Callithrix jacchus: one gene and its partner. The protein of the gene in region 2 binds, or shares a complex with, the protein of the main gene of each other region. Links are inferred from orthologs where the notes say so. Each region holds a gene or a part of one and is shown on either strand. Other genes may lie near its edges.

Region 1 (5,075 bases), on a different chromosome or scaffold from region 2:
CGAAATATTCGCGACGTTGTGATTTGCTCTATTCACCCCACTGTGTGGCAGAACACCAGAACTTACTCTTCCTGTCTCATGGAAGCTCCACGAATGTTCTTTCTCTGTTCCAGGTTCTTTTTTTTTTTTTTCAAGACCGAGTTTCTCTCTTGTTGCCCAGGCTGGAGGGCAATGGCGCGATCTCGGCTCACCGCAACCTCCACCTCCTGGGTTCAGGCAATTCTCCTGCCTCAGCCTCCTGAGTAGCTGGGACTACAGGCACGCGCCACCATGCCCAGCTAATTTTTTGTATTTTTTTAATAGACATGGGGTTTTACCATGTTGACCAGGATGGTCTCGATCTCTTGACCTTGTGATCCACCCTCCTCGGCCTCCCAAAATCTGTTCCAGGTTCTAATTTGGGGTACCGCACTGCATTTAATACGTTATCCTTTTGTTTTTTAAATTAACACGGAGGTTGCCCTAGGGACTAGCAGTGGGTGGAAAAATAAAGGGGCAGTGAAGGAGGAAGCCCCAGGGTGGCCACAGGGAACGCCTGGCGTCTCCCACCCAAGGTCTCAGCACAGCGTATGCAAAGCGCGTTGGAGAGACACTGGTTTGCTGGTAAGTGTCACAGTTGACTTGCCCGGTGCTGGGCAGGCGCTTTAGGAAGTTGTGTTTTCCTCTCTGTAAAAATCAGTGTTGTGAACGCAGTAACTTGTGTGAACTGCTCTGAAAGGGCTCGGCCTCCAGGAGCCTGCTGAGAATCCTGGGCTCTGCCAGCCAGCGGGCCCTGGCCCTCTGCACACTCCTGTGGGATTCCTGGCTTGTCCTGAGGGACGGTCCAGGGTGGATGACCAGTGGCTCTTCCTCTCCCTGCCTCTGTCCCTTCCCCCTGGACCTGGAAAGGCGTGGGGTTGGGGAGTGATCACGACGATCAGTGAACTTGGTGCCAACAGGGGTGATCGAATGTTCTCCCGAGTGTCCTCGGAGAGCCCTCGTGGCTAAGGGAGTTCCCTGAGAGCTGGAGAATGCAGGCTTTGTCCCCTCAAACAGCAGCTGGAGCCAAGAGCTCCAGTTGGAGAAGAGCTTGGAGTAAACTGAGCGTCAGGGTGGTTTCAGGCTAGGTGGTCAAATGACTTCTCAGACCGTCAGTTTTCACATCAGGGAAGTGGGCCACAGTTCCTAGATCCAGAGTGCCTGGTGACCCAGGGCGGCCTCAGGACAGGCTTGGTGCCTGTAGGGCACTGCCTGCCACTTCCCCTCAACATGCCTTTCTCCATCTGTGGACCACACCTTCCCTTCCTGCCTCATCACTCCCCATCCTCCCACACAGGCCCTTCCCTGGCGGAGCCCCTGGGTCCTGGCTCAAGAAATCTCCGTGAACCTGGAGTACCCTCTTTAGAGCAAATGTTTCAAGAGCCAGCTCCAATGCTGCTTGCAGGCCCCCAGCTCTCCCTCTCGGTAACACTGAGGTCCTCTCTGTAGAGTCCCCATTGCCCCAGTCACTTCCTGCCTGCTTTCTAATCTCCCGTGATGAAGTCCTGCCTCCCCCTCTGCAAAGGGTGTAAACTCCAGGGACCAGCTGTCTCTTGTATCCTGGGATCACTAGCACCTGGTAGTATGTCTGGCACACAGTAGGCACTCATTAAATGCTGTGCTTAGAACTGAGGTGTACTTGGAAGCCTCACGTTCTTGGAGAACAGCCTCTGGGCCTGCCCAGTGGTCAGAAATTGAGCCTCCTACCACAGAGGGGAGGCCGGAGGTGGGGGGCTGCAGGGATGGCCAGGGCTCAGCCAGCACCTGAGCGCCCCGCCCACCAGCTGCTCCTCCAAACCGAATGCTCCACCCCCTGCAAACGACCTTGAGGGCAGCAGCTTGGGTAAGTTCCCCTTCCGCTTCCTCCCACCCCACCACTGCTGCTCTTCAGCAGGCGCCTTGCCAGCCTCCACACCCCTTGTGCCTGCAGAAACGCGCCTGGCCCTGAGCTGTCACCACTGACACTGTCCAGGCCCCGGACACGATGCAAGCCATCAAGTGTGTGGTGGTTGGAGATGGGTAGGTGCCTGGCTGGACCTCCTCACAGCCCCCAACTGGGATGCTGTGAGATCCTCCCGCCCTGGTGTCCCTGGGGAAGCCCCTGGCTCTGCAGAATTAGGTGTCCCTGGAAGGCAGCTTGGAGGAGTCGCTTCATTCTTCTCCTAGGGCTCACAGCTAGCACCCCGGGGTGGGCTGAGGACAGCTTCACCCTCTTCAGCCCACCCACCCTGGAAGCCATCTGGGTGGAGGGTGCAGGACTATGGCTGGGAGTGCCCAGGCCCCTTACCTGCACCCCCAAAGCTGGGGGCAGGTCTCCCACGGAGGTGAGCCTCAGCCTTCAACTCTGTGGATGCACCCGCGAAGTGGGAAACCAGAAATTCAGCCTTCGTCCCCAGGCTGACTTGGGCTCTCGTCACTGGTTTGGTGCTGCTGTGTGGCCTTGGGCAAGTCACAGCATGTCTCTGAACCTCAGCCATCTGGGAGGAGGAGGCCTATGCCCTAGGGATGCTGTGGGGTCGCTGGACATAAGCTGAGTGGCTGTCTTGCTTGTAATGTGTGCTCAATAACCACCCCCTGCTGGTACCACCCCCCCCTCTCTCTCCCTTCCCCTCAGCCTGCTGGGTTGGGGAGGATGTGTGGGGGATGTGGGCGAGGAGCAGAAGGGGCAAGGGGACGTTGAGAGACAGAGAGGAGAGGGAGGAGGTGGCCGCAGGATGGGAGGGCGATTGTGGGATCTGCAGGGGAGGGGCAGGCTGGGCTGACACCTTCTCAGTTGTCAGATCCCAGTGACCCCCAGGCTGTCATGTCTCCTGGGGAATCTCGGTTTCCTCATCTGTAAAATGACGAGTCTAGGCCAGGTGCAGTGGCTCATGCCTTTAGCCCTAGCGCTTTGAGAGGCCAAGTGGGGAGAGTTGCTTGAGACCAGCCTAGGCATTCACAATGAGAACCCATGTCTACAGAAACTTTTTTTTATCTTTTTGGCGGGGGGGGGGGGGTCTCACTCTGTCACTCAGGCTAGAGTACAGTGGCGCAGTCTTGGCTACTGTAGCCTCCGCTGCCCAGGTTCAAGCGATTCTCCTGCCTCAGCCTTCTGAGTAGCTGGGATTACAGGTGTATGCCACCACACCTCCCTAACTTTTGTATTTTTAGTAGAGACAGGGTTTCACCATGTTGCTCAGGCGCTGGTCTTGAACTCCTGACCTTGTGATCTGCCTGCCTGGCCTCCCAAAGTGCTGGTATTACAGTCATGAGCCACCAGGCCCGGCCACAAAAACATTTTTAAAAGCTAGGAGTGGTGGCACGCGCCTGTAGTCCCAGCTATCGGGAAGCTAAGGTGGGAGAATCGCCTGAGCCCAGGAGTTTGAGGATGCAGTGAGCTATAGTTGTGCCACGGGGTGACAGAGCAAGACCTGTCTCTTAAAAACACAAAATAAAGGGACAGGTCCCGTTTGTCAATCTGTCGTGCCTGCCAGCAGCCATGTCTTAGGGTCCAACCCACAGGCCCAGCTTGGGGCTTTCTGTAAGTCCATCGCAGCATGTTCTAGCTGGAAGGAGCCTCTTGTCCAGCCCTCCCATGCTACAGAGGAGCAGCCCAAGGCTGTAAGAGACTCAGCTGTCCTGGCCTGGGTCCTGTGGCCCCCACTTTGGCTCTGACTCATCCAGGTGGGGGTGGGCCCGTTTGCCCACCAGCCTCAGCTGATTCTGATACATGGCCGCTTATCTGCCCACGCCGGCCCGGGCCTGTTCACTTCTGCTTTCTATCTGATCTGAAGAGGGGCAGGCGGAAGTCAAGGGTTAACGTCCCAGTCATTCAAAGTTACCTCGGGACAGGCCCCGGGGAGGACTGTGGTAGAGAGGAGAGGATGAGCTGTCTCCTCTGAGCAGGAAGTGACAGAACCAAGCAGGGCAGGGGAAGGCCCAGAGCTGCCCCTTGGTCTCCGGGCTTTGGCTGAGCTACCTGCACCTGCTCCCAGTCTCAAATGCTGGGGGTGGGGGAGGTGCGCAAATAATGACGTTCTCCGATTACCGATCCCTTCCTTCCTAGGTACCAGCTCTGGGGTTAGCCCGGCCTTCTCTATTTGTCCTCTCACCAAACCTAATAGGTTTTTACAGGTGGGAAAATGAATTCAGGGAAGCTATGCAGTTTGCCCAAAGCCTCACAGGATTTGAACCCAGCCCATTCTGACTCAAACCCTGGTCTAGTAACTGCTCTGCTCCATGGGGAGGTGAGAGGGAAGAGCTGGGTCAGGCCTTCCCTAGCAGCCACCGGCTGCTGCCGTGCGTCAGGCCCTGTGCTAGGTGCTTCGATAGGCATCGTTGGATTTATTCCTCAGCACACTCCTATGGGGATGGGCTCATCCTGATTTTCTAGATGGAGAAACTGAGGCAGAGGCAGGTTAAGTGACTCGTCCAGGGTCATGCCACTGAGCTGGGATTTGAAGCCCAGGCCAGGCGTCGGGGCCCCTCGGCATGGCCTGAGTTTGTGGGGTACCCCCTCTGTGTGACATCTCTGGTCCCTGGAGAAACCTGTGGGAAATGCAGATTCCCAGCTCTGCGAACACCTGTGGGTCAGAATCTCTGGGGCTGGACCCTGAAGTCTCCACTTTAACAAACACGCACAGGACCTGCAGGCTCTCAGGTGTGAGAACACAGACATGGGGTGTCTCAGACAGGGAGACAGGGCCCAGAGGGCTAGGCTGGGTGGATGCTGAGGTCTTCGCAGAGGATGGGGCAGAAACCTCCCCATGTCTCCAGCAGAGCCCATGATCGCCGCCCTCTTGCACTTCCTGTCTTTCAGGGCCGTGGGCAAGACCTGCCTTCTCATCAGCTACACCACCAACGCCTTCCCTGGAGAGTACATCCCCACCGTGTGAGTTCCTGGGGACACGCAGGTGCTGGGAGGAGGGGAGAGAACGTCACCAAGTCGACCCGCTTTCAGGCACTTCCTGTGGGCCAGACCCTGTGTGGGCACCCGATGGGGTGCCAGAGCCACAGCCTCCAGTGGAGCAGAGCTGCCTGATGGTCCAGCCAAGAAGGCAGCACTGGCACTAAGAAGT
Region 2 (4,552 bases):
TAAATTTCTTGTCTACAATTGTTATCCCCAAGAAATGGTGATAGCGAAAGATCTATACATTTTGGGGATTAAAAGAAATATCTCACGTCAAACCTGTAGCACAGACCCTTAATAGAAGTTATCTGTTACTTTCATTGTATTAGAATGTTTGAAGGCAATACCCATGTATCTTTCCTGATTGTTTATTTCCCGCAGTACCTGAGATAGGTCCTTATACATAGTAGGCAACAAATAAATGATTGTGGGCTTAAATAAAAACTTATTATACTATAACAAACCTTTTCAACCAATTAATCATTAACTGGTCTTGTTTGGAGGTTTGTGTAATTGACTAGTGATTAAACCATAAGGGTCATCTTTGCAGATTTTCTGGATCCTACCAGTGCTCTCAACATGTTTTATACTAAGGATACTCAGACTTCGGTGTTTTTTTCAAGCTTGCTATAAATAACTGCACTATGAATAACAATTACATGTGTGCATGAAACAAAAATGCCAATGTTGAGTGGTTTCTACCAAACTGACTTCTGCTGTCCCCTCACATTCCCTTAGCAGACAGGCTAACCACACACAGGCAAGGAGGTCACTGTGCCTCTAATAGAGCATCGTGCCTAGACATTGAGGGACATGAAATCTTTGACTACAGAGTTTAAACACTCACTCAGCTCCATGGATGGCAAGGCCAATGAAGAAGATCACAAAGAGATGATGTGTGTACCAAAAGACTTCAAAGTAAGACCTCCGGATGGTTTTGGTGGAGGAGGTGATAATTAATATGAGGCACAGTGTGATGACAACTCCAGTGATGCCCGCCAAGAGGGTCACAGCCAGGTACAGGCCTCCTTCAGGGTTCTGTAAAATATAAACAGACACACACACACACACACACACACAAACACACATTATTATAGGTTCTCAAATCTCAAACGCAGGACTATTATATAGTGTCCAATGTATAGAACAATAGGTATTTCCACTCCCTCTTTGAATAATCCTCATCATCCCTCACAGAGAGATATAGACTTGAAATAGATGTTTCTAAATTTTAAAGTGTCTTACATGGTTAAGGTGTCATAGGAAATGTGAATTGATATACTTAAATAGTTATTTATTAGGGGGTATCAAATAAAGGAACTCAATCAACTATAAGATGTCCTAAAAGTTTCTGAAGGCTCTTTCTGCCTTTGATTTTGAAAAGGTGATAGTGCTTAGTTTGCAAATATATTCTAGGAATGCCAAATATCATCAGCTGTGTTCCCCAGAAGCAGATCTTAAGATGAGACTTCATGGGTAAGTGACTTAGAAAAGATGTGGTCCAAAAGAAACTGGTAAGAGAGTGGGGAATAAGATAGAAAAGACAAGCAAGTCAAGCAAGGAGGTGAAATCAGGCAGTCTCCCAGGGAATAGCTTCAACCTGACCCTGCAAGGGAACTCTGGAGGGTAAGTTACAAATCAGAGTTTATCCTGACTCAAGGCAGGGAAGCCAGGCATTTATAGTCTGCATCCACCAGTTATTGGCTAAGGATTGCATAGGAACAGGCAACTATTCAGTCCCCCCAGCCCCCACCTTCCAAGGTCTCTGAGCCTGTAAGCAAGGGGACTCTAATAGCCCCTGGGCAGTCCTCTGAGGAAGAAACACAGTTACAGGTTATTGAAAATGGAAACATTTAGAAGAGTGGGAGAACATAGATACAGTAAAAGTGATCCAGAACATGATAGCGGAGGCTTACCTAGTTATGTTCCCATTGCCACCCTCATGTATCATTGGGCAAACAATAAACAATTTAAAAGAAATATTACCCAATATATTGTAGAAAAAAATCTGGTTTTTATTATGCTTAATTCCGTGTTTAATTCTGTGCCTAGGTATATCAGACAAGTTTTTCTCATATCAGTCTGTGGACAATTTTACTTTTCAAAACTAAGGATTTTTTTTTTTTTTTTGAGACAGAGTTTCGCACTTGTTACCCAGGCTGGAGTGCAATGGTGCGATCAACCTCCACCTCCTGGGTTCAGGCAATTCTCCTGCCTCAGCCTCCTGAGTAGCTGGGATTACAGGCGCGCGCCACCATGCCCAGCTAATTTTTTGTATATTTTTTAGTAGAGACGGGGTTTCACCATGTTGACCAGGATGGTCTCTATCTCTTGACCTTGTGATCCACCCACCTCGGCCTCCCAAAGTGCTGGGATTACAGGCTTGAGCCACCGCGCCCGGCCAAAACTAAGGATGTTTTCTAAACACAAGAAAACATTTTTGGAATTCAGTGCATATTAATGTGATTTAGTCATCTTCCCAAGTCACTGGGTGCATGAAGACTTGGAGCTTTTGTCTCTGAGTGTAGGAAGCTTTGACAGCTGCTGGGATGGAAGAAGTTCTTCTAGATACCCTCTTGGCTGCTTCTAGAGAACTGCTGAGTTACTCCCAGTGTACCTATGCTTCTCAAGGAATGACAATTAACAGACATAGGCCATCCCTCAGATATTGTTTGTAAGAAAAGACAAAGGAATCACTGACAACTGTCAGCTGGTGGCTGGCCTTACACTAATACTTAGGCCAGGATGTTCGCTACTTCACATAAATAATTTCATAAAACACCAACATCAGATGAGGTCACTCTGTGACTGTGATAGAGTGAGATAAAAACAAAATCTCTCCAAAATCATGTCTGATCCTAGACAATGACTACTGCTTCTTTTCCTATTATAGATTTAGTCCTATTCTGTTCCCGCTGCCTCCTAAGAAAAATAATTAAGATACCTAATCTGAGAACTACCCCAAATTCCTGACCATAACTGATCCAGAGAAAATTCTTGCATTCTTAAATTTTCCCCTAAACCATCTAACAGAATCCTAAATCTTATAACATGTTCTACTTTACATCCCCTTGAGATGCCCAGAGTTCCTCAAGGTGTTAGATTTCTTTTGCTGTAGCAAGTAATAAACCAAACCTTGTTCGACTGTGTTCGCAGCTTTCTCTGACTGGTGGGCATAGTCACAGGTAAGCCTGAGTTACTCCAGGCCTCACATGCGCACATTCTCATGGATGAGCTTAAAGACCTGGAAAACATCTAGAGACCTCCACACATGGGATGAGGAGTGTGAGAGACATTTTTTTCTATACTCCCATTCTTATAACCTACAGACTTGTCCCTCTGATGGTTAGCCAACTTTTTTTTCTCGGCAAAGTAGAGGTCTTCACTCACTGAAATCTAATCCTCAGTAATAATGACATAGAGAATATCTGAATCAGATAATGAGAGGCTTACCTTGATTCTCTTTCGAGCAAAGTTGAGATAAGTTTCATTTGGCCTGTCTCCAAGTTCAGAGAGTGCTATTGAATAAGGATCAGAATTGTTGACTCGGGCATTCACACACCATTCCACATTAAATAGATGTGCAATGGTGTGAATTGCTGAAAAGGGCAGAGAAGAGAAACAAAGAGAGTGAAGAGTATGCACAAATTTATTGTAAGCTGGGTTTCTGGGACAGCCTCTGACTCTACAATAAGCCACAGGGAGACAAAGGGAGGCCTAGGAAACTTATAAACAGGAACTAGGTCTCCAGAACCAGGGAGACAAGGCAATTCTAGTGGGTAAGCTCCTCTCTAGTTGTGTAATTGTGGGAAAATGACTTAACTCTCTGGTCTTGGTTTACTAATTTGTAAGATGAAGATGTTGAGCTATATGCTCTTAAAGGCCCAACCAAGTTATAAGATTCTACAGAATAGTCTTAGTTTCTGAAGGTGTTTAGATATGCTTTCATTATCTCTCTGCATAATATATTTGGGCTCAATCAAGAAAATTCTCATGGAATGAATGCCTAATTGCTGGCCCATTAACCTGACTCTGAAATTACCTCCAGAGAGGGATGACAAATTAGACTGAATTAATACAAATCTATGGCCATAAGGTAGGAATCTCTCTTTTAAAAATTGCATTGTTTATTAATAAACACTTACATAGGGCTCACTAGATGCCAAGTACTTTTAAAAGTGCTTCACAATGACTTAATCCTTACATTGACCCAGTGATATAGGTACTATTAGCATAGGCTCATCTTACAGATGAGGAAACTGGGACATAGACTGCTTTAAAACCTTGATTAAGGTCATCAAGCTAGGAAGCAGCAGAATTATGAATCAAATCCAGTACATTTGGCACACAAATCTGTGCTCTTAATCTGTACACTATGTTAGTTTCTAACAAGATTTTAACATACATTTCTTTTGAACTATTTATTTGCCACTGCTCAAAAAGCCTACCAGATCTACTAGTAGAAGAGAAAGTCAGTTAAATGCCTGCAATCGAAGCCTATTTTACTCAGGCTAGGAACAGACTCTTTAAGGGCAGAGTACAAGTCTGCTTTATCATTGTGCTTATCTGTTCTCTGGCACATGAATTGTTTGTTGAGTTAAGGACTCCAGATACATCCCTTCTTGCACTGACACTACCACCCTGATAATTTATAAATTTAATAATAATATATCATATATATTTATGCATATATATGTATTGCATGGATACATGTAATAACAATAATAATAATAATAAA

The links. Proteins that work in one complex are often made in the same cells at the same time.
Region 1: CYBB (region 2) and RAC2 share a complex: the UniProt entries of both Homo sapiens proteins name them as parts of the phagocyte NADPH oxidase complex. The link is inferred for Callithrix jacchus from reciprocal best matches to the Homo sapiens genes CYBB and RAC2.

Annotation. Positions count from the first base shown.
Region 1 is NC_133502.1:208,154,967-208,160,041, reverse strand, and holds the start of RAC2 (ras-related C3 botulinum toxin substrate 2), read left to right. Parts: upstream 1-1,891; 5' UTR 1,892-2,002; coding exon 2,003-2,037; intron 2,038-4,816; coding exon 4,817-4,888; intron 4,889-5,075. UniProt on the Homo sapiens protein: Plasma membrane-associated small GTPase which cycles between an active GTP-bound and inactive GDP-bound state.
Region 2 is NC_133524.1:38,573,466-38,578,017, reverse strand, and holds part of CYBB (NADPH oxidase 2), read right to left. Parts: intron 3,414-4,552; coding exon 3,268-3,413; intron 853-3,267; coding exon 662-852; intron 1-661. UniProt on the Homo sapiens protein: Catalytic subunit of the phagocyte NADPH oxidase complex that mediates the transfer of electrons from cytosolic NADPH to O2 to produce the superoxide anion (O2(-)).